Macaca mulatta: one gene and its partners. The protein of the gene in region 3 interacts with the protein of the main gene of each other region in a pairwise test. Links are inferred from orthologs where the notes say so. Each region holds a gene or a part of one and is shown on either strand. Other genes may lie near its edges. The genes, in order: ERCC6L, SP3, HTT, JAKMIP1, H2AP, AP2A2 and TRIP10.

Region 1 (3,177 bases), on a different chromosome or scaffold from region 3:
ATCAAACTCTGGTGTTTTCTCAATCGAGGCAAATTCTAAACATCATCGAACGCCTCTTAAAGAATAGGCACTTTAAGACATTGCGAATCGATGGGACGATTACTCATCTTTTGGAACGAGAAAAAAGAATTAACTTATTCCAGCAAAATAAAGATTACTCTGTTTTTCTGCTTACCACTCAAGTAGGTGGTGTTGGTTTAACATTAACTGCAGCAACTAGAGTGGTCATTTTTGACCCTAGCTGGAATCCTGCAACTGATGCTCAAGCTGTGGATAGAGTTTACCGAATTGGACAAAAACAGAATGTTGTGGTTTATAGGCTAATCACTTGTGGGACTGTAGAGGAAAAAATATACAGAAGACAGGTTTTCAAGGACTCATTAATAAGACAAACTACTGGTGAAAAAAAGAACCCTTTCCGATATTTTAGTAAACAAGAATTAAGAGAGCTCTTTACAATCGAGGATCTTCAGAACTCTGTAACCCAGCTGCAGCTTCAGTCTTTGCATGCTGCTCAGAGGAAATCTGATACAAAACTAGATGAACACATTGCCTATCTGCAGTCTTTGGGGATAGCCGGAATCTCAGACCATGATTTGATGTACACATGTGATCTATCTATTAAAGAAGAACTTGATGTGGTAGAAGAATCTCACTATATTCAACAAAGGGTTCAGAAAGCGCAATTCCTTGTTGAATTTGAGTCTCAAAATAAAGAGCTCCTGATGGAACAACAAAGAAATAGAAATGAGGGGGCCTGGCTAAGAGAACCTGTATTTCCTTCTTCAACAAAGAAGAAATGCCCTAAATTGAATAAACCACAGCCTCAGCCTTCACCTCTTATAAGTACTCGTCATACTCAGGAAGAAGATATCAGTTCCAAAATGGCAAGTGTAGTCATTGATGATCTGCCCGAAGAGGGTGAGAAACAAGATCTCTCCAGTATAAAGGTGAATGTTACCACCTTGCAAGATGGTAGGCACCCATATGAAGGTACATGTAGTGCTGACTCTATAGCTACTTTACCCAAGGGGTTTGGAAGTGTAGAAGAACTTTGTACTAACTCTTCATTGGGAATGGAAAAAAGCTTTGCAACTAAAAATGAAGCTGTACAAAAAGAGACATTACAAGAGGGGCCTAAGCAAGAGGCACTGCAAGAGGATCCTCTGGAAAGTTTTAATTATGTACTTAGCAAATCAACCAAAGCTGATCTTGGGCCAAATTTAGATCAACTAAAGGATGATGAGATTTTACATCATTGCAATCCTTGGCCCATTATTTCCATAACAAATGAAAGTCAAAATGCAGAATCAAATGTATCCATTATTGAAATAGCTGATGACCTTTCAGCATCCCATAGTGCACTGCAGGATGCTCAAGCAAGTGAGGCCAAGTTGGAAGAGGAACGTTTAGCATCTTCACCACAGTATGCATGTGATTTTAATCTTTTCTTGGAAGACTCAGCAGACAACAGACAAAATTTTTCCGATCAGTCTTTAGAACATGTTGAGAAAGAAAAGAGCTTGTGTGGCTCTGCACCTAATTCCAGAGCAGGGTTTGTGCATAGCAAAACATGTCTCAGTTGGGAGTTTTCTGAGAAAGATGATGAACCAGAAGAAGTAGTAGTTAAAGCAAAAATCAGAAGTAAAGCTAGAAGGATTGTTTCAGATGGCGAAGATGAAGATGATTCTTTTAAAGACACCTCAAGCACAAATCCATTCAACACATCTCTCTTTCAATTCTCATCTGTGAAACAATTTGATGCTTCAACTCCCAAAAATGACATCAGTCCACCGGGAAGGTTCTTTTCATCTCAAATACCCAGTAGTGTAAATAAGTCTATGAACTCTAGAAGATCTCTGGCTTCTAGGAGGTCTCTTATTAATATGGTTTTAGACCACGTGGAGGACATGGAGGAAAGACTTGACGACAGCAGTGAAGCAAAGGGTGCTGAAGATTATCCAGAAGAAGGGGCAGAGGAAAGCAGTGGCGAAGCCTCCAAGTATACAGAAGAGGATCCTTCAGGAGAAACACTGTCTTCAGAAAACAAGTCCAGCTGGTTAACGACATCTAAGCCTAGTGCTCTAGCTCAAGAGACCTCTCTTGGTGCCCCTGAGCCTTTGTCTGGTGAACAGTTGGTTGGTTCTCCCCAGGCGGCAGAGGCTACGAATGACTATGAGACTCTTGTAAAGCGTGGAAAAGAACTAAAAGAGTGTGGAAAAATTCAGGAGGCCCTAAACTGCTTAGTTAAAGCGCTTGACATAAAAAGTGCAGATCCTGAAGTTATGCTCTTGACTTTAAGTTTGTATAAGCAACTTAATAACAATTGAGAATGTAACCTGTTTATTGTATTTTAAAGTGAAACTGAATATGAGGGAATTTTTGTTTCCATAATTGGATTCTTTGGGAACATGAAGCATTCAGGCTTAAGGCAAGAAAGATCTCAAAAAGCAACTTCTGCCCTGCAACACCCCCCACTCCATAGTCTGGTATTCTGAGCACTAGCTTAATATTTCTTCACTTGAATATTCTTATATTTTAGGCATATTCTGTAAATTTAACTGTTGTTTCTTGGAAAGTTTTGTAAAATTATTCTGGTCATTCTTAATTTTACTCTGAAAGTGATCATCTTTGTATATAACAGTTCAGATAAGAAAATTAAAGTTACTTTTCTCAAGTGTTTTCCATCCACTTTGTTTCACTGAGATGATACTGGCAGAAGCCTGTCATTATCAGTCTAGATCTTAAGACATGCTTGTGAACATGCTGTTTCATGTTTTCAGCTTAATACAGGTGGAGCATCCCTAATCCAAAAATGAGGAAACTTTCTGAGTGCTGACATGATGCCACAAGTGAGGAAAGTTCCATACCTCATGTCATGTGACATGTCACAGTCAAAATGAAGGTGTACAACACACTGTTTACTCAGCATCCCCAAGGGAAAAGAGATTCTGTAAGCCCCCTTCAGCTACTATATATCCTTTCCACACAGGCCCAGATTCTCCCATGCAAGCCTGCCTACAAAGGGCAATAAAATGGTTCAACATACACAAACTTTGTTTCAAGCACAAAATCATTAAAAGTAATTATAAAATTACCTTCAGACTTATGTATATAACGTGTATATGAAACATAAATGGATTTCGTGTTTCGACTTGGATCCCATCTCCAAAATAT
Region 2 (4,137 bases), on a different chromosome or scaffold from region 3:
TTTTCTAACACTGATAGTCATATTCAATTTCAAAAGATAAAGTACTATCTAAGCAACTTGCCAATTTCAAAGGCTGCTAAATGTTTCACTTACGCCCCTTACAAAAAAAACTCACTGCAAATTTAAGTAGTCTGCAAAAACTAAAAATCAACGATTTTGAATGGTCACTAAAAAAGCAAAAAGTGTTCACTCCTGCATACAAAAGGATAATTCAAATAATAAACCCCCATTTTTTAAAAATAATGTATGATTTAAAACAGTAAGATCCTGTAACTTCCAACAGAAAATGCTCCAGTTTCAAAAATACTAAAAACTAAAGACACTCCTTCTAGTTGATACTATCTATGGCCGATAGGCTGTGCTTGAAAATTTTGTAGTGTTCAGCGAAGGAGTTTTCAGCACTGATAGGAATTGCTCAAACATCCATTTTGGAGTCCTCTACCCCCGCCCTCTCAGACTTCATTTTGTGAAGAATTTTGCGCGAGGTGCCGCAGTGACAATTTCGAGAAAGCCTGGGCTGGCTTCAAATCCAAACAGGGACGCGAAAGAGCAGGAAAGGGCGCCCTGGAGCCCAGCGGCCCGTGCGGCTCGGGAGAAGCGCGGGCGCCGGGGAGGCCTTTTGGGCGGGCGCGCTACGGGCCCCGGATGGCGGGCGCCGGGCCTCAGCGGGGGCGGGCCGCGCGCGGGACTTACCGCTCCGGCGGCGGCGGGGGCCCCGGCTGCGGCGGCCGCCTCCTCCTCGTCGTCGCCCGGCGATGGCGGCCCTATCTTGCTGCAGGTAGCGGCCAGCAGAGCGAGCGGTGACGGCTGAGTGTCCTACCCCCAATGGGCGGGTTCAGAGAGGGAGACAGGGGGAGGGGGTGGCGGTTAGGGCCGGGCGGCCGCTCGCACAGGAAGTGCGACTCGATCCCCGCCGACTGCGCCCGGGCGAGCGCCAACCCGCACTCTCCTCCTCCTCCTGGTCCCGCCGCCGGCCCCCGCCTGGCGTCCCCCGCTCCACGAACCCCGGCTCCCCGGTCTGCGGGCAGGCGGGCGGCGGGCTAGCGCGCCGGGCCTCCGCCTTCCGCCCGGAACCCACCCCCGAGAGGGCACGCTGGGGCCCACACTCACACGCGCACAAAAAGGCGGCAGGCGGGCGGGGCGGGGCGTCGCGGGCGGGGTCGGAGCGTTGGCGCCTCGGGCGGGCAGCTCCCGAGGCGGGGGGAGGGGAGGGGTGGGGAGGGGAGGGGAGAGGCGAGGAGGGAGGGGTGAGGCGAGGAGGGAGGGGAGAGGCGAGGGGAGGAGAAAGCGGCGCGAGGGGGGAGCCGGGCCGGGGCTCAGCCGCTCCTCACCTGGGCCGCCGCCGCCGCCGCCACCGCGCCGTTTCCGTGCTGTTGCTGCTGCTGCAGATACTCGCCGTGGCCGCCGCCGCCACCACCGCCGCCGCCGCTGTCCACGTCCAAGGCAGCCATTTCCTCTTGTTTCACGGGCTTTTCGGGAGCTGCAGGCACAGCGCGGGGGGGTGGGGGTGGGGAGGAAGGCGGGTGGCGGAGAGGGAGGGGGCCCGCGGGCCGAGGCGAAATTACTCCCAAAGCCCGGACCCAGGCCCCTTCCCCTCCCCCACCCGCCCCCCGGCGGCGGCGGCGGCGGCGGCGGCTCCCTCCTCCCCTCCTGCTGCTGCCCCCGCCCGCCGCTGCCTGTAACCCTCCTCCTCCTCCTCTTTCCCTCCTCCTCCTCCTCCCCGCGCTGCCCCTGCCCCCTCTCCTCTCCTCCCCTTTCCCTTCGCGCCGCTCGCTCTCACTCGCGCTCGCTCCTCTCGCACCGTCAGTCACTCACACACGCCCGCCCGCGCCCGCACACAGGGGGATGCGCTCCCGGCGGACCGGGCCGCCCGCCCCGGGGCCTGGCGGGGAGACGGCGTTGCTGGGGCTTCGGGGGTGGACGGTGGCTGGCGGGGAGGGGAGGGAGGCGCAGGGGAGTGCAGCTTTCTGCCTCTCACAGACACTCGGTCGCACACACGGGGCCAGGACCGGCGGCAGCGGCCCCGGGCTGGCTGTGGTCGGCGGCAGCGGCGGCGGCGGCAGCAGCAAGGGTTGCTCTCTCGGCTTTACGTACCGGTCATAGTGTGTTTAGGGCACCTCAGGCGGGGCTCCCCGCCGCCTTACACATGGTGAGGAGCGAAGGCGGCGGCGGCGGGAGAGGATGCGGGAAGCGGCGGCGGACACGGCCGGAGCGGTCCGGGGATTTTTTTTTCCTATTTTGATTGACTGTGCGGGAAACACAAAAGGTGGAGCCTCCAGCCCAAAAGGGGGGAAGAGGGTGACAGCCTGCCCGGAACTCCCGCCCCTCTTCTTGGCCCTCATTCGCCGCCGTGTTCTCCGTCGGATGTGCTCATTGGTCCAGGCGCCCGTCCGTCGCTGTGCCAGGCGGCGCGCTTCCTGTTTGCCCCCCGGGTGGAAGGGGCGAGACAATGAGCGGCCGTGGCAGCGTAGGTTTCCGAGAGCGGCTACGGCTCGCCGGTTACCCCGCTGTGTCCGCCTCTCTCGCCGGCTGCCGCTGCCAGGCCCGAGGCGCAGGCCTCCTCCACCTCGCAGGCGCTCGGAGCAGGCCTAGCCAAGCTGTAGGGGAGCTGAGCTGGGGAGGAAATTCGTCCCCGGTGACTCCGGCTCCACTGGAGGCTACCTCCATCCCGGCAGCAGCCTCGGCCGGATTTCCCCAGGGCCTCGCGCTCTTGGAGCCGCCGCTTGCCTGAGCTGCCAGGAGGGCACCGCCGCTCAGCCCCGGGGCTGCTGCTGCGGCCGCTGCCGCTACTGAGCAAACCAGACCCGCCCCACGAGCCCGGGGGGAGGGAGCTGGTATTAGGGGAGACACCCCCTCCGAGGCTGGAGGAGGATTTTTCTCACACACATCCAGCTTTCTGATTCACAGACAGCCATCTCGCTCCCAGCCCCCTTAGCCCCAGCTTTCCAACCGGTCTCCCACTTTCACGTACCGTGAAGGCAGGCATTTAAAGCAAAAAAATTTCAAGTCACCTCACATACGGAAGGAGAGTTTTAATTTTGGCCAGTGGCACCAAAACGGGCACTTAAAAGTATATTTCATTTTACCTGTGGTATGTGTATGTATCCAATGGGGCAGAATACTGTTTTTTTAAAAAGTCAGTCACATAATCATTTTGCTGCACAAACGTATTATCCCCAGCCTCTTAATCCTCTTGGTACCAAGTCAGATATCTCCTGAAACAAGCCCATCAACCATTGCCAACGTTTTTAAAGTCGTGAACTGGTGAAGTACCTTTTTTCCCCCATTGGAACATTTTTGTTGTATTTTAAAATCTTGTTTCACTCATTGGATTAGGTTAAAACTCCTTCCTTCTTTGGCAACCTTGATATCTTGCTGTCATCCTGGGGGAAAATGCTGAGGTTTTATGTCTGTGTTTTGCCAACTAAGAGATATCTCTCCCTGTTACCTTCAAGTATAGTTGCCAACAAAGAAGTTAAATTCAAGAGGTGGAAACACTGTCCACAATACCTCTTTTTTAGAAATCTGGCTCAAGAATCAGTTTTCCCATTACTGTGATGATTGTATTTTGTGTGATATGTGATGATGTGCTGGTGGATGAGGTTGTGAAGCACTTCAACTAGATTTTGTGTGTACTAACTTAATAGGTAATCCATTTGTGAGATAGCGAGTTTGCATCCCAGTTCCAAAGCAGTTAACCGCCTATGCTCACAGGATCAGAAACATTGTATGGTTACTTTGCTCTTAATTGTACAAAGATCGAATTTCTAGGGAATTGACCTAAAAACCACAAACATGCGGAAACGAGACTCAAAATTCTGAGTCCAAGAATAAGGTTCATCTCTCCTAATAGTAAGACCTTGTAGTCTCATTTAATTGGAAAAATAACTTCAAAGTTGAATGGTATAACCTGTGTACTATTTTACAACAAAAACTTTTAAGGAAATAAAAGTCACAAAATAACCTGATTTGGGGTGGGGGGAAGGGAAAAAGAGATGGGTGCCCTGAAGAGCAGGACAGGTGAAAAGTGAAAAGTAGACTGGGAGAGAGGAAGGGAAGTCACTATTATCACTCTGTTCCTACCTGGATCTGTTGGGTGGAAGGTAGCTCTTTCCCTAGAAAGGATATTTTAGGCAT
Region 3 (3,500 bases):
GCACTCAATTTTAGCAGAGTTCACATAATCAACTATTCCAATTTTTTACCTCAGTGTTCAGTGGAAAAGACACTAAGCTGTTCCCTTCAGTGAAGGTATCAGATGAGGTCAAGCTCTCCACTAGTGATCTAAGCTGCGCTGTCATTAGGGGTATTAGACAAGAAGAGAACAAGCAGGAGGGTTCAGGTCTGGGTCTCCAGGGAAGAGCTCAAAAGATGGCAGACAGTAGGGTTGGGCATGGTAGCTCACAAATATAATCCCAATACTTTAGGAGGCCAAGATGGGTGGATCACTTGAGGTCAGGAGTTTGAGACCAGCCTGGCCAACATGGTGAAACCCCATCTCTACTAAAAATACAAAAATTAGCTGTGTGTGATGGTGCCCGCCTATAATCCCAGCTACTAAGGAGGCTAAGGCAGGAGAATCGCTCGAGCCTGGGAGGCAGAAGTTGCAGTGAGCTGGGAACGTGCTACTACACTTTATTTTTTTATTTTTATTTTTTTGAAACGGAGTCTCGCTCTGTCACCCAGGCTGGAGTGCAGTGTCACGATCTCGGCTCACTGTAACCTCCGCCTCCTGGGCTCAAGCAATTCTCCTGCCTCAGCCTCCCTAATGGCTAGGATTACAGGCATGTGCCACCACACCCAGCTAATTTTTGTATTTTTAGTAGAGACGGGGTTTCACCATGCTGGCCAGGCTGGTCTCGAACTCCTGACCTCAAGTGATCTGCCCACCTCGGCCTCCCAAAGTGCTAGGATTACAGGCGTGAGCCACTGTGCCCGGCCTCCACTGCACTATAGAGTGAGACTCTGTCTCAAATAAAAAATAAAAGATGGCAGGCCCCTCCGCACACTTACAATTTCAGAACTGTCTGAAGGGGTGACAGCTGAATCAGGCCCTTCGGTGGTGGTCTGGGAGCTGTCGCTGATGGGCGAGGAGGCCTGGGTCCCATCATTCAGGTCCATGGCAGGGTCAGATGGGACGGCGCTGACCTGGCTGGAGCTGTGGCTCAAGATATCCTCCTCATCCCCATCCGTGGCAGAGCTTGTCAAGTCACAGCTGGCCAGATCCACTGAGTCCGCCTGCAGCGTGTGCTGTGACCGTGGCTGCTCCGTGATGATGTCGTGACCTGCTGACCCTGGAGTGGAAACCCCTGAAGAAGTAGCCAGCTCTCCACTGATATCATCCTTCACTGAGGCTGAAGACAGAGAAACACTCATTTGTCAAATGGCGAGAGAAAACATTCAATATGGAATCAAAGGCTTGCAAAATAACACAAAGTTCCACTGTCATCCAATGTTTCCATTTGATGGAATGTTTGATGAAATGTTTCCAAATGTCATCACTGCATAGCATCCTGAAGACAGTGAAATGCAGGACAGCAGTGCATCCCTCATGTACCACTCACACTGCCTCTCGCTACAGTACCCATCTTAATAAAATAAGGCTTATCAGAAGGTAATATTCTCAAACGGTGTTTCACTGCAAAAACTGAAGTTCAAGTTCTTAACCAACTACTCCAAGCCCTGGCTAGGGCAATTTATAAAGACGTTCATAATTAAGGGGCAGCCTAGTCAGGGGCACAAAACTAGGCGGTCCCAGACACGCAGGTCCTCTAAGCAAGCAGTGGTCACGAACAACTGTAATCTCTCTGGGGTGGGCTTGCCTTCTTCCAAGCCACGTTCAAGATCTCGACTCCAGTCCTATTATTCTCCTGGAAGATAAACTTCTAACACATTTTCCTAGTTGACTTTTTTAATTACCATTTAAAAACAAAAAAGACTATATAGAAATCATGGCAAAAAGGTCAACACGAAGCTGTTGGCAGTGGTCACTCCTGGGGCGGTTGGGTTGGTAAGCAAGTGACCTTTATACTAGTCTAGATCGCTGTGATGTTTTATTGTTGTTTAATTTGTGTAATCAAAAATAAAATCTATTTTTATTTTGTAAATAATTACTACTAGAATTATTCAGATTTTCCTCCCTAAATATTTAAGTCTTACTTTCAGTTACAGCTAAAATATTCTTTTAGATAGGATTATACAACCAAAACCACCCTCATATAATCCAGTTATTAGTACCTTAAATTAATCCTCATCTTTTATAAAGTACACAGAGAATTTCATTAGATAACTATCTGTAACTGGCCAGGCACAGTGGCTCACGCCTGTAATCCCAGCACTGTGGGAGGCTGAGACAGGCGGATCACTTGAATTCAGGAGTTCAAGACCAGCCTGGTCAACATGGTAAAACCTCGTCTCTACAAAAAATACAAAAATTAGCCAGCCGTGGTGACGGGCACCTGTAGTCCCAGCTACTTGGGAGGCTGAGGTAGGAGAACGGCTGGAACCCAGAAGGCGGAGGCTGCAGTGCGCCAAGAGCACACCACTCCATGCCAGTGACATTGGGTATCAGCACTGGGTGACACAGTGAGACTCTTTATCTCAAAAAAAAAAAAAAAGATAACTATCTGTAAACAAAGGCAGATTCTTTCAAGTTAAACTATCCATAGGCAATTTTTCATCCCACAATTTTTCATCCCATTTCCAACCCCCAGCATAACCCATCCAACTCATGAGACGTTTCGACGTGCCATCCCTACTCACAAAGCCCTATGCTCAAGGAGCATAAACCTAATTTTAAAACAGTCTAAACCACAGAAAACAGCAAATATATGATGCAAACACCACAGACACACAAGCTTCAGAGTAAGTATTATGAAAGAAGCCCAAATATCCCCCATTTAAGCAACCTGGGTCCACTGCTGCCCCCAGTTGTGCTGTCCACCAGGTGCAGGGGGACGGGCAGGAAGGGCATGGGGTGGACGGCAGAGAGTGAAGGTCCACACCAGTGGCTAACTAGTGAGAACTACCTGCAAAGGCAGAGCTGCTGACATCCGATCTCGATTCAGAGTCATCCTCCAAGGCTTCTTCTTCTCCTAAGAGCACTTTGCCTAGTAAATAATGTACCAACATTCCTTTAGTTTGCTAAAAATAAGGATTTCAAAATTAAGTAAATGCACTCTAAAATGAAACTCATAAGAATATTTAATTTACTCTAATATGGTTTATCATCATATATAAGTATTTTTATACCTCTACAGTATTAAACACAAAGAATGTAGAGATGTTATGTTTAGAATGCTATTAAAGTTAATAAACCTATATGGAAAAAGTTAAAAGCAATGATTCTCAAAGTATACCACAAAACATTTTAATAATTAATATTTATTGATTTCAATTATTAAATAATCTATAGTACTACTTAAACTTAAAAATAGTAAGTTTTAACTGTAAAGACCCAATGCTATTGGCCTTTGAAATATTCATGTGATAGCTCCAATGACACACCAGAATTTGTACATAAAACTCTAACACCTAAAAGTCACTTTCATTTTATTATCTTTTAATTTTCTTGACTTTATGATTAACAATCAGAACTCAAGCATTATATGATCTGGAAGGATGAAATAATATTTCACTTGAAAGTTCTAAAAATAC
Region 4 (3,968 bases), about 3.5 Mb from region 3:
CTGGCTCAGAGCCTGAAGAGATGCAAGGTCCCACCCTCGAGGAGTTAAACAGAGAGCCACAGCCTGCAGTGGCAACTGCTGCTGCCTTATGGACTAGAAATTGTTCCCTCTGCCACTTGTCCCACAGCCCAGTCCACCATTACACACCAAGAGAGTGGGGCCACGGTCCTGCCACTTCCTCAGGCAGCCTTCCTGGCTGGGCCAAGGCAGGGGCCTGTCCCCCTCTCCCTGCACATGGCTCTCTGACAGCACGGGCAGTGTCTGTGTGGCCATCTCCCTAGGAAAACAGAGCCCCGACCAAAGTGGGACCATCTCTCAGGTGACCTCACTGTGTCCCGTGTCCCGTGTCCCCAGTCTCTAGTGGGCAAGATCTGCTTAAGGAAAAACTATACAAACAAATATCACACTGGACGTGTATGAAAAGTTCTGAGAACACAATGAGAGAACCACACAATCTTTCCGGTAGAGTCTTGGAAAATCACAGTGATGGAACCTAAGAGCTGGACTTTATCATGAATCGTTCTCCAGATACACAAGGGAGGGGAGCATTGTTTTAGAGAGGGGGGTGAAAAAAAAGCATGTGGGGAAAAACCCAAGTGTGAAGACATGTCTACACAACACAGAGGCAGCAGGCGTGGCTGAGACATCGTGGCAGGAAGAGGGGAGAGATGGGCCAGGGAAGTCAGGATGGAAGGAACTGGTGAGGTAGTGGGGGCAGTGGGAGTCATAGGTGGTTTGTGAAGGAAGAAAATGCCAGTCATCTCATGCATTGGGTCCACACTGTGATCCTTTGGGAGCGGCTTACTGCAAAAAGACTCCAGGTAAGAATTACCCCAGACTCCAGAGCGGAGATGTTCAGCATTACAAACCGGTACATATCTCAGCAACAAAAATCTTGCAACAAGCCACAAACCTCCACTGTGCGCCGCAACATCAGTCTGTGCAGACCCGCAGATCTCCAGGAGGGTGACAGTGCCCTGCTAGGAAAGGATCCTAATCCCCCCACTCCATCCTCGAATGTGTCCCTCCTCCTTGCCCATCCCAGCTATTGGAGCCACCACCCACAAGCCCAGGTTGCTAGAGGAAGGGCCAACTCCTCCCATGGCCTCGCCCTCCACACCAGCGGGTTGCTTTGACTTAGGGGAGATGTCCCTGCTATGCCCAACATTCACTGTGGGTGGAGCCCTGGGAGAGGGGCTGAGGCTGCCCCTGTCCTCCTCCCCACCTCCTCCTCTGCTCTGGAAGGCAGAGGCCGTCAGATGGTAACAGCATCCTGGGACAGCTCCGCGGTCCAGGAAAGCTCAGGAGGGGCAAGGGGATCTCCCTGACCTTGGTCTACAAGGAGCTGGCCAGCCGAAGTTAGGGCGTTCCCGGAGAGAGCACAACACGGGCAAAGGCCAAGGACAGTGTGCCTGCGAGTGTGCGCAGATGGGGCGAGCGGCGGAGGAGGGCTGGCGGTTAGATACAGTATCGCTGGAGCTCAGAGAGCCGGGCAGAGGCTGGCGGAGAGCCGAGGTTGGCCCAGCCTTCAGGAGACCGGCGAGCTGGGGTGTGTGGGAGCGGGATGCTTCTAAGGCGAAAAGAAGAGCCAGCCTCGTAAGCGGCCTCTATCTGGGCTGCCCTGGCCGGATCCTCAGGAGCCCACAGTAGGGGGGATGGAGCGAAGGACCTAGGAGCTGGGAGGCGAGGCCGCCGCGCGCGCACTGACGTAGGCCACCGAGGCCGCTGGCCCCGACGCACGGCGCCCGGCAAGGTGTCTGGCACCACCGGAGTCAATCCTTGCGCGCCATCTCCGAGCCCAGCGCGCCCAGGGCGCGCTGGGCCGGCAGGAGGGTGGGTGCCAGCCTTTCTTCCCATCTCTCCAGCCTCCTCCCCGGCGCCCACGTGGGCGGAGCAGCGCGAGGGTGTGCGTGGCAGGGGCCGCGGCGGCGTGTGCGGTGCGTGGGGTGGAGTGCAGGCTGGGCGGCCTCGCCCGCGGGCCCCCCGCCGCCGGGGCGCGGCCCCCAGCTCCATCTTCTTTGCCACCTGGGCGGGGATCTGGGGGACTACGACCTACCCTGCGGAAGACACCGAGGGGACCGGCCGGCCACACCCCCCAGGCCACTCCGGCAGGCACCGGGTGGGTCCCCCCTCCCGCTCCTTGGCTTGGGGGCGGAATCCGGAGAGGAGTGGAAATAGGGGTGGCGTGAAGGAGAGCTGGGGGCTGGGGGCGGAACCGGGAGGGGGTGTTGGGGGAAGCGACGCAGCGGCTGGGAGATTTTGCAAGGGGGTCTGAAGAGGAGTGGGGGATGGGTACGGAAGGGTGGGGGAACGCTGAGGTGGGATGCGAGAGTGGAAGGGGGACCCGAAGGGGGCGCGATGACCGGAGGACGGGGAGATGGACGATGGGGCGGGGCGGCACCGGTCGCCGCGTCCCTCGCCGCCGGGTCCGCCCCTCGGTCGCCGGGTCCACGGGTTCTCTCTGGCCTGCGCGCGCCTCTCCTCCCGCCCCCCGGCGCACCTGTACCCACCTGCTCGGCGCTCAGGCCCGAGCCGGGCAGCAGCAGCGGGCGTAGCGAGCGCAGCCCCGCGCCGCATCCTCCGGCCGCCCCCTCCCCGCTGCGAGCTTACGCCGGTGTCGCCGCCGCCACCGCCTTAAAAAGGACAAAACGGAACAGAAAATGAATGCATGCACAAAAAATCGTAAAAAGCAATTGAGGAGGATGGCAGTCGCGCGCGCGGCTCGGCGGGGCGGGAGTCGAGAGGCCGCGGCACTGGTGGCCGCGATAGGGGCAGGCGGCCGGCGCGTGCCGCACGCGGGTGGCTGCAGCTCCCTCGGTCGCCGGCGCCCGGCTCCGGCACGGCCCCGCCCCTCCCTAGGGAGCCCGTCCGATTGGTCTGTCTTCCTGCCAGTCAGGCAGGAGGGCTAGGCGCCCGCCCCTCCCCGCCCCCGCCCCCGCCCCAGGCAGACTCTGGGAGAGCTTCTGCAGCCGCGAGAGGGGGCGCGGAGCTGCCGGAGCGTGCGCACTAGGCCAGCGGCCGGCCCGGGCAGGGCTGGGGTCCCGGCGCTGAGCGCCCTCAGCCGCGCCGGGCACCCTGGCGTCTCGCTGAGTCGGAGCAACCCCCGGGAGGAGCTTTCAGGCTCTGGTCAAGGCTCGGGCCTCGGGAAGCTATCCCTACCCTCGGGGGCTCGAGCCTGGCGTGGAGCTTGCAGGTAAAGCGGGGCTGGGGCCGTCCTGGCCGTCAGTGGTCAGGAAGACGCAGCGACCCCGGAGATCCATGTCCCCCTCTGTACGGATGAGAGGTCTGAAGGTCAGAGGTTAAAGCGCACGCTAAAGTCGGCAGAGCCAGCAAGGGGCAGAACTGGACATATGCCAGCCTAGGGAGCTGCCCCCACCAGCCCAGGCTGCCCCCAGCAAAGCCACATCACCAGGTCATAGCCAAATGAACGATGTGCTGTCGAGCTGAGACTTGGGAGGGGCAGGACTCAGCTGGGCAAACATTCATTCAGTGTCATTAGACAAATATTTATTGAGCACCTACTGTGTGCCAGGCAGTCAAGAAGATGTGGGGACACCATAGTGAACAGCAGAGAGGAAGAGGCGCCCACCAGAGCTTACTTTCTAGCAAGGAGAAGGGAGGGAAGAGCACCCAGCAAAGGGAGCAGCGTGGGGGAACACCCTGACTGCAGGGAACGGGACATGTTTGAGAATCTGATAAAAGTGTCTGGGCCACAGAATGATGAGAGGGAGAGTGTGGAAGATGGGGCGTGGGGGCACAGAGGGGCAGCGCTTGCAAGGTCTTGCAGGCTGGGCAGAGTTTGGAGACTGTCTCGCCTGGAAGGTGGTCCCATGGACTATGGTCAGATTGATATTTTTTAAACTGCACCAGTCAGGATAAGCTGTGTTAGCCACAGTAACAACCAAACCCAAATCTCCCTGGTGTGTCTTGCTACATGGTACATCCTTCCTCTGTCAGTGGGGCTCTGT
Region 5 (3,151 bases), on a different chromosome or scaffold from region 3:
ATCCCTGTCTCAAATCCTCTTTCATAATAAGTCAGGGCATAAAGAAATAAGAAATGAAATCCAGCAGGCCATCATTTCTTTTTTGCATTTTTCATCATGGTTTCTCCTTCACTCTCAATCTCCATGTAAAGTCCCTATCCCATGAACTTCATGCCAGCCAGTGTGCCCCCTCTCCACCCGCCCCTGTGGCCACCACCCTCTGCCTCCTGCACTTCAGTCAGAGTCTGCAGCTCCACCCCAGGCCCCAGCATCAGGCTGGGAATTCAGCAAGCCTCAGAGGCCCCCAGCCAACTCCCCGGCCTCACAAGGCCTTCCTGTTCAGAGGCAATTAGGAAGTCTCGGTGTCTTTATCCCAGCCAGTTCCTCCCCACAGGGCCCGTGCCCTCTCTGTCACCGTTGGAAACTGCCCCCTCTAAATCACTGATTCAAACACTCCACACTGGCCACCACTTCCCGCCCCCCCCCCCAACTTCAGCTCTCTGGGGATAGCTTCTCCTTGATGTCTCACAGACACCTACAACCCAAAAAGACGGAAACTGGAAGGAGTCAGAAACATACTCATGGATTTACATCCTTTAGTAGCACTTGTTGATGACAACAGCAGATATTCCTCAGCTGTGACACATTTTTGCCCTGGCTAAGCCTGTGAGGATCCCCTCAAGGCTCTGGGACCCAGTCTTCAGTCATTCTTTCCGGATTTGGGCATCTCATCAAACACAAAGCGGGTTCCATCACTCTCAGTGCGGTGGGGCTCATGGTGGTTGTCCCCTTCTCTCTCCCCATCTTGTGAAGTGTTGCGCATCCTGCCATTGTTGATGGCCTCCAAGCCTACCTGCTCCATGATGTAGTCAGCAAGGCAATCGAGCAGGGTAAGGAGGATATTTATTGTGGAGGAACTCTGGCTTTGGGCATCTTGTTCATCTTGCACAACTCGGTCCACGAAGCTCATAGGGACCCGCAGCTCATTTCTAGACCGGTCTTGAATCTGGTTGTTATTTGCAGAGGAGTTCTTACGGTTATTTTTCTCTGACATGATATTTGCTGGGTTTGGCTCTGATCAGCTCTGCTTGATTCTCCAGCTCAAGTAAGTCTCTGAGGACGCTGGTGCTGCCTATTGGATCCCTCTGCTCCAGGCCCTGATTGGTCAGGGAGCTAGCTGCCTTTGTGACATCCCTAGGCTTTGTGATTTCACTGGTGTCCACTGGTCCCTGATCAGACCTCAGCTTAGAAATGTCTGTGACACTGATCTAGTCACCCTAATGACTGAACCCTGATTTTGAGGGAACTATAACTCTTTACCTGATTTTGACATTATAAAAATAAAAGTGTGTTTCAATGGAAAACTTTGCTCTATCTTTAGGACACCACTGCAGGTTATCTGATTCTAGCCTTACATTATCTGTGAAGTCTTTTATAGCCTTTTGTTAGTTGTAGGTGGCTGATACGTGTACAGTATATTCTTTAGTAGAGGTTCAGTTGTCTTCACCTTATGAAACCAGTTTTGCCTCCATGTGCACAATCATTTAATATTACTGATGAATATTCCCATATCGACTCTTTGGTTTCCCTTTTGAAGCAGTCATAACATCTTTTTCTTGTAGCATGTGTTCATTTCGTATCTGTATGAGTGTCATGATTTTACCCTATTTGAAAAATGCATTTTATTTATTTTTTTATTTTTATTTTTTATTATTATACTTTAAGTTCTAGGGTACATGTGCACAATGTGCAGGTTTGTTACATATGTATACATGTGCCATGTTGGTGTGCTGCACCCATTAACTCGTCATTTACATTAGGTATATCTCCTAATGCTATCCCGCCCCCCTCCCCCCTCCCCACAATAGACCCCAGTGTGTGATGTTCCCCTTCCTGTGTCCAAGTGATCTCATTCTTCAATTCCCACCTATGAGTGAGAACATGCAGTGTTTGGTTTTCTGTTCTTGCGATAGTTTGCTGAGAATGATGGTTTCCAGCTGCATCCATGTGCCTACAAAGGACACGAACTCATCCTTTTTTATGGCTTCATAGTATTCCATGGTGTATATGTGCCACATTTTCTTAATCCAGTCTGTCACTGATGGACATTTGGGTTGATTCCAAGTCTTTGCTATTGTGAATAGTGCTGCAATAAACATACATGTGTATGTGTCTTTATAGCAGCATGATTTATAATCCTTTGGGTATATCCCCAGTAATGGGATGGCTGAGTCAAATGGTATTTCTAGTTCTAGATCCTTGAGGAATTGCCATACTGTTTTCCATAATGGTTGAAAAATATATTTTAATCATTTTTCAATTAATAATAAGATGCTCAATAAGTTTACCTGTCAGTGTCAGGTAAACAGTTGATAGGGAAGTGCATCTTTTTTTTTTTTTTTTTTTTTTTTTTTTTTTTTTTTTGAGACGGAGTCTCGCTCTGTTGCGTAGGCTGGAGTGCAGTGGCCAGATCTCGGCTCACTGCAAGCTCCGCCTCCTGGGTTCACGCCATTCTCCTGCCTCAGCCTCCCGAGTAGCTGGGACTACAGGCGCCCGCCACCTCGCCCGGCTAGTTTTTTTTTTTTTTTTGTACTTTTTAGTAGAGATGGGGTTTCACCGTGTTCGCCAGGATGGTCTCGATCTCCTGACCTTGTGATCCGCCCGTCTCGGAGAAGTGCATCTTGTGCTCAGTTTAAGCCCAGATGTATATTTCTTGTCTCTCCTAGGTGAAGCAAAAGCACTAAGAGATGTTTCTTTTCTATTATTTAATTTTCCTTTCTAGTAATTCTGTGTTTTCCCTTTGACTTTGGTTCATTTACAGCCAATAACTTTGCCATTCCATAGGGGAAAAAGTAGAAAGAACAAAAGAGTCTTAAATCCAAACAATTTCAAAATCCAACCATTAGGTTTCAAGGCCTGGGAATATTCTATGACTTAAGACTCCTCCCTTTGATCACTCTGATCCTATGACTTCACCTGGGGTCATAAATCTGCCCTCTGGCCTCTAGGTTCTGCCCTCAGTCATTGTTCCTTTATTTTGAATGGTAGCATATGTTTACAGCTGAGTAGTTTTATCAGCCTGCTTTCTCCTGTCAAATTTTGGGAGTCCTATGGCCTTCTTTCATTTCTTCCTCTATTTGTCCCTTTCCGTCTAAGCTGGCATTGTTTCTGC
Region 6 (3,500 bases), on a different chromosome or scaffold from region 3:
GGGAGTGAGCAGACCCCGAGGACAGGGCACTCGCCTTCAGGGCGTTGATGACAGTCTCGATGTGTGTCTTGACAGCCTCGTGGGAGAACTCGGAGCTGGCCAGCGTGCACATGCTCTCCAGGGCCAGGTAGCGCAGGTTGGTCTCACGGTGCTGCAGGAACTGGCCCAGCTGGTTGCAGGCGCGGACGAGCAGGTTCGGCTCACTGCATGGAGGGAGGGGAAATGGGGGGGCGGTTTCCTCAGCAAGTGTGACACAAACTGGACAGAGCCTGCGTTCCCCAACGGGTCCAGATGGCAGATAGCAAAGTCACACCACACTCACCGCCACCGCACTGCTCAAGTGGGAACTCGGGAGCCTCCCCAGATGCACCTGACCCCTACCCCTGACTTCCGTTTTGCGTCCATTCTGTTCATCCCCCCAGTGACAGTCAGCAGCCCATGCATCCACTGGAGCTTCCCAGCACCTCCTGAGCCTCAATCTGCATGAGGCTCGCAGGAGGCCGGTCAAGCTGTGACCGGCAATGGGGTCTCAGCCAGAGGCACCAGCCCGGGGCAGGGAGAAGGCTGAGAAGGCTGGGAGCGTGGCTGCTGCCCCACTCACTCTACTGTCTCTTCAGAACGTGGCTTCTCCTCACATAACAACAGAGCTTTCTCTAAAATGGGAAATTTCACTTTTAATAGCTCCCAGCTCTCTCAGACTGAGTTTTCATCATTTGTAAAAATGCTGTAGTAGCAAATGGGTGGTGTTCACTAGCTGTAGAGAGCGTCTGCCCACAGCCTGGCATGTTTCCTCATTATCGGGAGCCTGGTGGGAGCTGCAATCTCATTCTCACAGGACCCTAAAGCACGGCACCACACGCAAGACCCACGCCAGCCCACATGCAGTGCACCACAACTGCTGAGCAGAAAAGGCGTGGGAGCAGAGGAGGCAGACGCTCCGGGCCGTGTGGTGGGGGCAGAGGAGGCAGACGCTCTGGGCCGTGTGGTGGGGGCAGAGGAGGCAGACGCTCCGGGCCATGTGGTGGGGGCAGAGGAGGCAGACCCTCCGGGCCGTGTGGTGGGGGCAGAGGAGGCAGACGCTCCGGGCCGTGTCGTGGGGGCAGAGGAGGCAGACCCTCCGGGCCGTGTGGTGGGGGCAGAGGAGGCAGACCCTCCGGGCCGTGTGGTGGGGGCAGAGGAGGCAGACCCTTCGGGCCGTGTGATGGGGGCAGAGGAGGCAGACCCTCCGGGCTGTGTGGTGGGGGCAGAGGAGGCAGACCCTCCGGGCTGTGTGGAGCGGCCAGTCACTCACCCTGTGCCTTGTGCTGTGTAGATGGGCACAGCCGTTTCCAGCACTGCCCTGGGACCCCGGACCCACCAAGTATGGCTCTATGCCCAGCAAAGTCACAGGACATGTGCACATGCCCCCCACCCCATCCCCGTCTCCTCTCCGTTCCATGACACGAGAAGCCAGTCAGGAGTGGGGATGCTCAGGAGAAGGAGGAAAAGGCCCTTTTGGGGGATGAGACCACAGTCAGCAAAGCAATTCATGGTGAGCTCAGAGGAGGATGAGCCGAGCTGCACGGAAAGAAAAGGGTCCAGCAGGGAGCAGACAGGCAGGACGAAGGGAAGGCCCGTGGAGTGGACAAACTAACTAGACATGATCAGCCCAGTCATGCCAACGAGAAGGAACATGTGTGCGTGCGCAAGATGAAGTTCGCTCCACAGGCGGCCGACACACCTGTCATGGTGAATGATTAAGCTGATCGCCTCGAAGAGCACGGCATTCTTCGCATTGGAGTGCTGGACTTTCTTTGACTTGGGTGGTTCTTGGGCTTTGTTCAGGATGGTCTCCAGGCACTCAGTCAGGCGGCCTCGCACTGCAGGGTCTTCTGGGCAAGACAGAATGGTGCTCACCAGGCTCCAGTGGCCCACAGCCCACCCTGCCCCTCCCGGCTGTACCCATACATCATGAGAGCATTTTTAATATAGTTCATTCACATCTGTGTACCCAGCTGGGAGCATTTACAAAACTGAGAAAGGCCGGGCACAATGGCTCACTTCTGTAATCCCAGCACTTTAGGAGGCCGAGGCAGGCCAGTCACCTGAGGTCAGGAGTTCAAGACCAGACTGGCCAACATGGTGAAATCCCGTCTTTACGAAAATGCAAAAGTGAGCTGGGTATGATGGCAGGTGCCTGTAATCCCAGCTACTCAGGAGGATGAGGCGGGAGAATCGCTTGAACCCAGGAGGCAGAGGTTGTGGTGAGCTGAGATCGCGTCATTGCACTCCAACCTGGGCAACAAAGGGAGACTCCGTCTCAAAGAAAACCTGCACAGATCTGATACTATAAAAGCACAATAGACCCAAACCCTAACAAAACTGTAGGCTCTGCAATAATTGCTCCACAAAAGCCAGCGCATATGGCAGCACTGGCAGAAAGGTCGATGAATCAAGAGGCAGGGCTAGTAACACACTTCTTAAAATAATAAACAAACCACTTAAATCTGAGACAGGGAATCAGACCGGCGCTAGTGCAGCTTCAGGAGCCGCGGCCTGCGCGTTACCTGGGGGTGGGTAGCACTGCAGCAGCCTCAGCAGTTTGACAGACAGCCAGGGAGCCGGGACAAAATAGTAAGTGTAATCCTGAAGATCTGTTGATGCGGACGTCACGATCTGTAAGACAGCAAAGGCAATCAGACACGCTGCTGGGCATGAGCCCCCGCTGCAGGGACCCAAAGAAAAGCCATACGCACTCCTCGGGTCATGCCTGAGCTGGAAAAATGGTTTTGTTTCATGTGCCAGGAGCGTCTGACACTGTTTGGTACCCCCAGGTTCGCTGTGAGAGGGCTGTGCTGTCACTTGGCAACACGCTGCCGCAGCTGAGTGGCAACCCTCACTCGGTACAAGACACCATAGCACCTGGATTTGAAACTACAGTCTTTCCTTTGTGGACCAGAACATGAATGAAACGAAAGAGAGAGCTTTAGGCTCCTCAGAAGGAAGAAGCACACCCCCACCCCCAGAAGCCGGCATTCTGACCCTACCCCACAACCCCACAGTTCCCCCCGACCACAGGTCAACCCAGATGGTGAGCTCGCTGAGGCAGGGAGGCTGCCCGCCTCACTCACATCCCATCTCTTTGTCCAATGCGGCCTTTGGCTTGGCAGATCCTCTGTCAACCTCCCGAACAAGTGACAATCACGACCACCTCACATTTCCACTGACATACAGCCCAGTGTCTCCTGTTTCTGGGAGGTCAATGTAGTTCCTCCCTTCCTACAAAGCTCACATGTGCGACACTTTTAGGCCATAAGTGAACCCATTTAGAAAAGTTCACCCTGACTCCTGCCCTAAGCTGCAAGATGCCAGCCCAGACTTGGGTCACAGACTCCTGCTACAGGGAGGCAAGTTCTAGGCTGTCTGTCAAAGACAGGGCTGAAAGGCACAAACACAAAGCAGGAAAGGCAAGAATCACAGCACTTCCGAGACAGAGACACGGCCAACATGAGCTGTCTCTC
Region 7 (3,500 bases), on a different chromosome or scaffold from region 3:
AATAAAAAAAAAACGAGGGGAAGGAGGCGGTGGGGAAAAAATAAATAAATATAACACTAAACAAAACAGGATCTTAAGTCTGCATGCAATCTCTCAGGAAAACTTGAGAATTCGAATAAATCCATGTACACTGTTTAGAATAGTGCCTAGAATACAGTAAGTGACTAATAAATACTGTTATCATTATCATTAGTTTCTCATCCGTCTCCTCTATGTCTGTACATACAGGTAGTCATGACTATAATAGACCTTTGGAAAAGACCAGATCTGAGCTCAACTTCCTTCCAGTTATTTTTTATCTTTTTCTGAGACACAGTCTCACTCTGTCGCCCAGGATGGAGTGCAGTGGCGCAATCTCGGCTTACTGCAACCTGCGCCTCCCGGGATCAAGTGACTCTTGTGCCTCAGCCTCCAGAGTAGCTGGGACTACAGGCGCACGCCACCATGCCTGGCTAATTTTTATATTTTTAGTAGAGACAGGATTTCCATACGTTGGCCAAGCTGGTCTCAAACTCCTGGCCTCAAGCCATCTGCCTGCCTTGGCCTCCCAAAGTGCTTGGATTACACGTGTAAGCCACACTGCACCTGGCCAACTTCATTTCCAGTTCTAATACCTGACCCATTTTACAGATGAAGAAACTGAGGAATTAAAAGGTGAAACAAGCTGCCCAAGACCTCAGAGATGAAGCTGGAAATCAAGTTCAGTTTGTCGTGACTCTAGAACATGCACCCTTAATCCCTCCACCGTAGAAACCCAGGAACTAGAGAGTTCTGAATGGAACTTTACACCAATAAAAGCCATTCTGTCCAAGAGGTTACATGCAAATGGCAAAATATAATTTGGCTGCCTGTTTGCAAGTGGCAAACGTCATTCCTATTATGTAACAGGACTGGGAAGAGGATTTTGTTGCTTGGAAAGAGTGAGTAAAGATTTTTTTTTTAATCTGGCAGATTTTTTTATTGTGAATATTTTAAGTGTTTGAGCTGTTAGATAACCATAGGCTGCTTTTTTTTTCTTTTAGCCAATTAATGTGGTGAGCTAGATGGATACATTTTTTGATATTGAACCATCTTTGCATTACTGGGATAAAACCCAACGAATGGTGGCTTTTTTCTTTTTTTTTTTTTTTTTGTTTTTAAAAAAATTTATTTGGGTTTTTCTTCTTCTTTTTTTTAAGAGATGGGGTTTTACTGTGTTGCCCAGGCTGGCCTTGAACTCCTAAGCTCAAGCGATCCTTCTACCAAGCCTCTCAAAGTGCTGGGCTTATAGGCATGAGCCACCACACTCGGCTAATGTATTATTACTATTATTATTTGAGGTAGAGATTCGCTGTATCACCCAGGCTGGAGTGCAGTGGCGCAATCTTAACTCACTGCAACCTCCACCTCCCAGGTTCAAGAAATTCTCCACCTCAGCCTCCCAAGTAGCTGGAATTACAGGCACGTGCCACTATGCCCAGATAGTTTTTGTATTTTTTTTGTTTGTTTTTTTGAGACGGAGTCTCGCTCTGTCACCCAGGATGGAGCGCAGTGGCGCAATCTTGGCTCACTGCAAGCTCCACCTCCCGGGTTCATGCCATTCTCCTGCCTCAGCCTCCCGAGTAGCTGGGACTACAAGTGTTCGCCACCACACCTGGCTAATTTTTGTATTTTTAGTAGAGACAGGGTTTCACCATGTTAGCCAGGATGGTCTTGATCTAGTTTTTGTATTTTTAGTAGAGACAAACCATTTAGTAGAGACCACCATGTTGGTCAGGCTGGTCTCAAACTCCTGACCTCAAGTGATCTACCCGCCTTGGCCTCCCAAAGTGATGTATTATTTTTTAAACACTGGATTTGCTTGGCTAGGATTTTGCATCTATTATCATAAATAAGGTAAAACGAGCCCTCGATTTTATCTTCTTGAATTCTTGGCCATTGATTTGGGAATCAGGATTCGTCAGCCTAAAGAGGCTGACAGCTTTCACTCTTTTTCTGTTTGCTGGAATGACTTGTATAAGACAAGAAGTAACTGTTTCTTTTTTTCTTTTTGAGACAGGGTCTCACTCTGACACCCAGGCTGAGGTGCAAGTGGTGCAATCACAGCTCACTGCAGTCTCAATTTCCCAGGCTTAAGCCATCCTCCCACCTCAGCCTCCCAAGTGGCTGGGACTATAGACACAAACCACCACACCCAGCTAATTTTTTTATTTTTGCTAGAAATGGGGTCTCTGTTACCCAGGCAGGTCTCAAGCTCCTAGGCTCAGGTGATCCTCCTGACTCAACCTCCCAAAATGCTGGGATTGCAGGCGTGAGCCACTGCACCTGGCCAAGAAGTAACTGTTTCTCGTAAGTGTGGTAGGAATCACCTGTAAAACTGTCAGGGCCTTGGGATTGTTGGGGAGATCTTTGAGTACCACTTAAATGTCATTCATTTACAGACCAGGGCACTGGCTCGTGCCTATAAGCCCAGCACTATGGGAGGCCAAGGCAGGCAGATCAACTGAGGCCAGGAGTTCAAGACCAGCTTGGCCAATATGGGGAAACCCCCGCCTCTACTAAAAATATAAAAATTAGCTGGGCGTGGTGGTGCATGCCTGTGGTCCTAGCTAATCAGCAGGCTGAGGCACAGGAATTGCTTGAACCTGGGATGTGGAGACTGCAGTGTGCTGAGATCATGGCATTGCACTCCAGCCTGGACAACAGGGTAAGACCCTGTCACAAAATAAAAATAAAATAGAATAAAATTAAAAAATAAATAAATAAATGGAAACCATCTACTATTTTATCATGTTCCTTGCCTGCCCTTCCCCACCCCACCACCTTACCTCTGGTCAACCTCCTTCTGAAGTTCACGACTGCGTTCTTCTAACTGCTGTTGAAGCCGCTTTCGCTGCTGCTCTGGGGGCAAATGGCTAAAATCCTCGGTCACCACTGTCTGCAAGGTGGGTAGAGGGCTGAATTTGGGATCAAGGAGTCTAGGCTGCCAGACTCTGCACCCTTCTGAGATATTTCACTTCCTTCCCCAGCCATGGTTCTTGGCAGCGAGGCCATGCACAAAGCAAAGCGGGTCTGGGTTGGGCAACCAGGGAAGAGGGGCCCAGCCAGCGGCAGGAAGCGAGCCCAGGGTCCCGCCACCCGCCGCTGGGCAGGCTAGGGCCACCACCTTCTCCTGCCCCGAGGCCTCACTTACCCCACGGCTGCCTCGAAGGCTGCGGAAGGATGCTAGCCTCGGTTTGACCGACTTACTGATCTCGCTCAGTATGGCCAAGGGGTCACGGCCGGAGCGGGGGGACGGGGGTCCGTTAGGCAATGCCGAGGGTACGGGACCCCCCAGGGGGGAGAGGGGTGGGGGGCGAGGCTACCGGAGGGGGCCGGGGAGGGGGATAGTTGAAGGGGTAGGGGGGTGTAGGAGGTAGAAAATGAGGACGAATGGACGGAGGAATGGATGCACGGATGGACGGATGGACGCGAAAAGAAAAAAGGAAAAACAAAATGGAGAAAGAAAAAAACGGTAAGAA

What was found.
Region 1: the proteins of HTT (region 3) and ERCC6L interact in binary tests that used the Homo sapiens proteins (3 or more experiments, as listed by UniProt). The link is inferred for Macaca mulatta from reciprocal best matches to the Homo sapiens genes HTT and ERCC6L.
Region 2: the proteins of HTT (region 3) and SP3 interact in binary tests that used the Homo sapiens proteins (3 or more experiments, as listed by UniProt). The link is inferred for Macaca mulatta from reciprocal best matches to the Homo sapiens genes HTT and SP3.
Region 4: the proteins of HTT (region 3) and JAKMIP1 interact in binary tests that used the Homo sapiens proteins (3 or more experiments, as listed by UniProt). The link is inferred for Macaca mulatta from reciprocal best matches to the Homo sapiens genes HTT and JAKMIP1.
Region 5: the proteins of HTT (region 3) and H2AP interact in binary tests that used the Homo sapiens proteins (3 or more experiments, as listed by UniProt). The link is inferred for Macaca mulatta from reciprocal best matches to the Homo sapiens genes HTT and H2AP.
Region 6: the proteins of HTT (region 3) and AP2A2 interact in a two-hybrid assay, tested with the Homo sapiens proteins (2 studies listed by BioGRID and IntAct). The link is inferred for Macaca mulatta from reciprocal best matches to the Homo sapiens genes HTT and AP2A2.
Region 7: the proteins of HTT (region 3) and TRIP10 interact in binary tests that used the Homo sapiens proteins (3 or more experiments, as listed by UniProt). The link is inferred for Macaca mulatta from reciprocal best matches to the Homo sapiens genes HTT and TRIP10.

What each region holds. Positions count from the first base shown.
Region 1 is NC_133426.1:78,744,552-78,747,728, reverse strand, and holds the end of ERCC6L (DNA excision repair protein ERCC-6-like), read left to right. Parts: coding exon 1-2,330; 3' UTR 2,331-2,677; downstream 2,678-3,177. UniProt on the Homo sapiens protein: DNA helicase that acts as a tension sensor that associates with catenated DNA which is stretched under tension until it is resolved during anaphase. Functions as ATP-dependent DNA translocase. Can promote Holliday junction branch migration (in vitro).
Region 2 is NC_133417.1:78,864,131-78,868,267, forward strand, and holds the start of SP3 (transcription factor Sp3), read right to left. Parts: upstream 2,801-4,137; 5' UTR 2,102-2,800; coding exon 2,095-2,101; exon of another isoform or gene 1,781-2,094; intron 1,481-1,780; coding exon 1,332-1,480; intron 817-1,331; coding exon 694-816; intron 1-693. UniProt on the Homo sapiens protein: Transcriptional factor that can act as an activator or repressor depending on isoform and/or post-translational modifications. Binds to GT and GC boxes promoter elements. Competes with SP1 for the GC-box promoters.
Region 3 is NC_133410.1:3,307,755-3,311,254, reverse strand, and holds part of HTT (huntingtin), read right to left. Parts: intron 2,954-3,500; coding exon 2,873-2,953; intron 1,199-2,872; coding exon 858-1,198; intron 1-857.
Region 4 is NC_133410.1:6,836,288-6,840,255, reverse strand, and holds the start of JAKMIP1 (janus kinase and microtubule-interacting protein 1), read right to left. Parts: upstream 2,801-3,968; 5' UTR 2,511-2,800; intron 1-2,510. UniProt on the Homo sapiens protein: Associates with microtubules and may play a role in the microtubule-dependent transport of the GABA-B receptor. May play a role in JAK1 signaling and regulate microtubule cytoskeleton rearrangements.
Region 5 is NC_133426.1:37,817,750-37,820,900, reverse strand, and holds H2AP (huntingtin-interacting protein M), read right to left. Parts: upstream 1,805-3,151; 5' UTR 1,034-1,804; coding exon 680-1,033; 3' UTR 501-679; downstream 1-500.
Region 6 is NC_133419.1:881,384-884,883, reverse strand, and holds part of AP2A2 (AP-2 complex subunit alpha-2), read right to left. Parts: intron 2,656-3,500; coding exon 2,547-2,655; intron 1,872-2,546; coding exon 1,721-1,871; intron 204-1,720; coding exon 35-203; intron 1-34. UniProt on the Homo sapiens protein: Component of the adaptor protein complex 2 (AP-2). Adaptor protein complexes function in protein transport via transport vesicles in different membrane traffic pathways.
Region 7 is NC_133424.1:7,608,440-7,611,939, reverse strand, and holds part of TRIP10 (cdc42-interacting protein 4), read right to left. Parts: intron 3,341-3,500; coding exon 3,173-3,340; intron 2,918-3,172; coding exon 2,808-2,917; intron 1-2,807. UniProt on the Homo sapiens protein: Required for translocation of GLUT4 to the plasma membrane in response to insulin signaling. Required to coordinate membrane tubulation with reorganization of the actin cytoskeleton during endocytosis.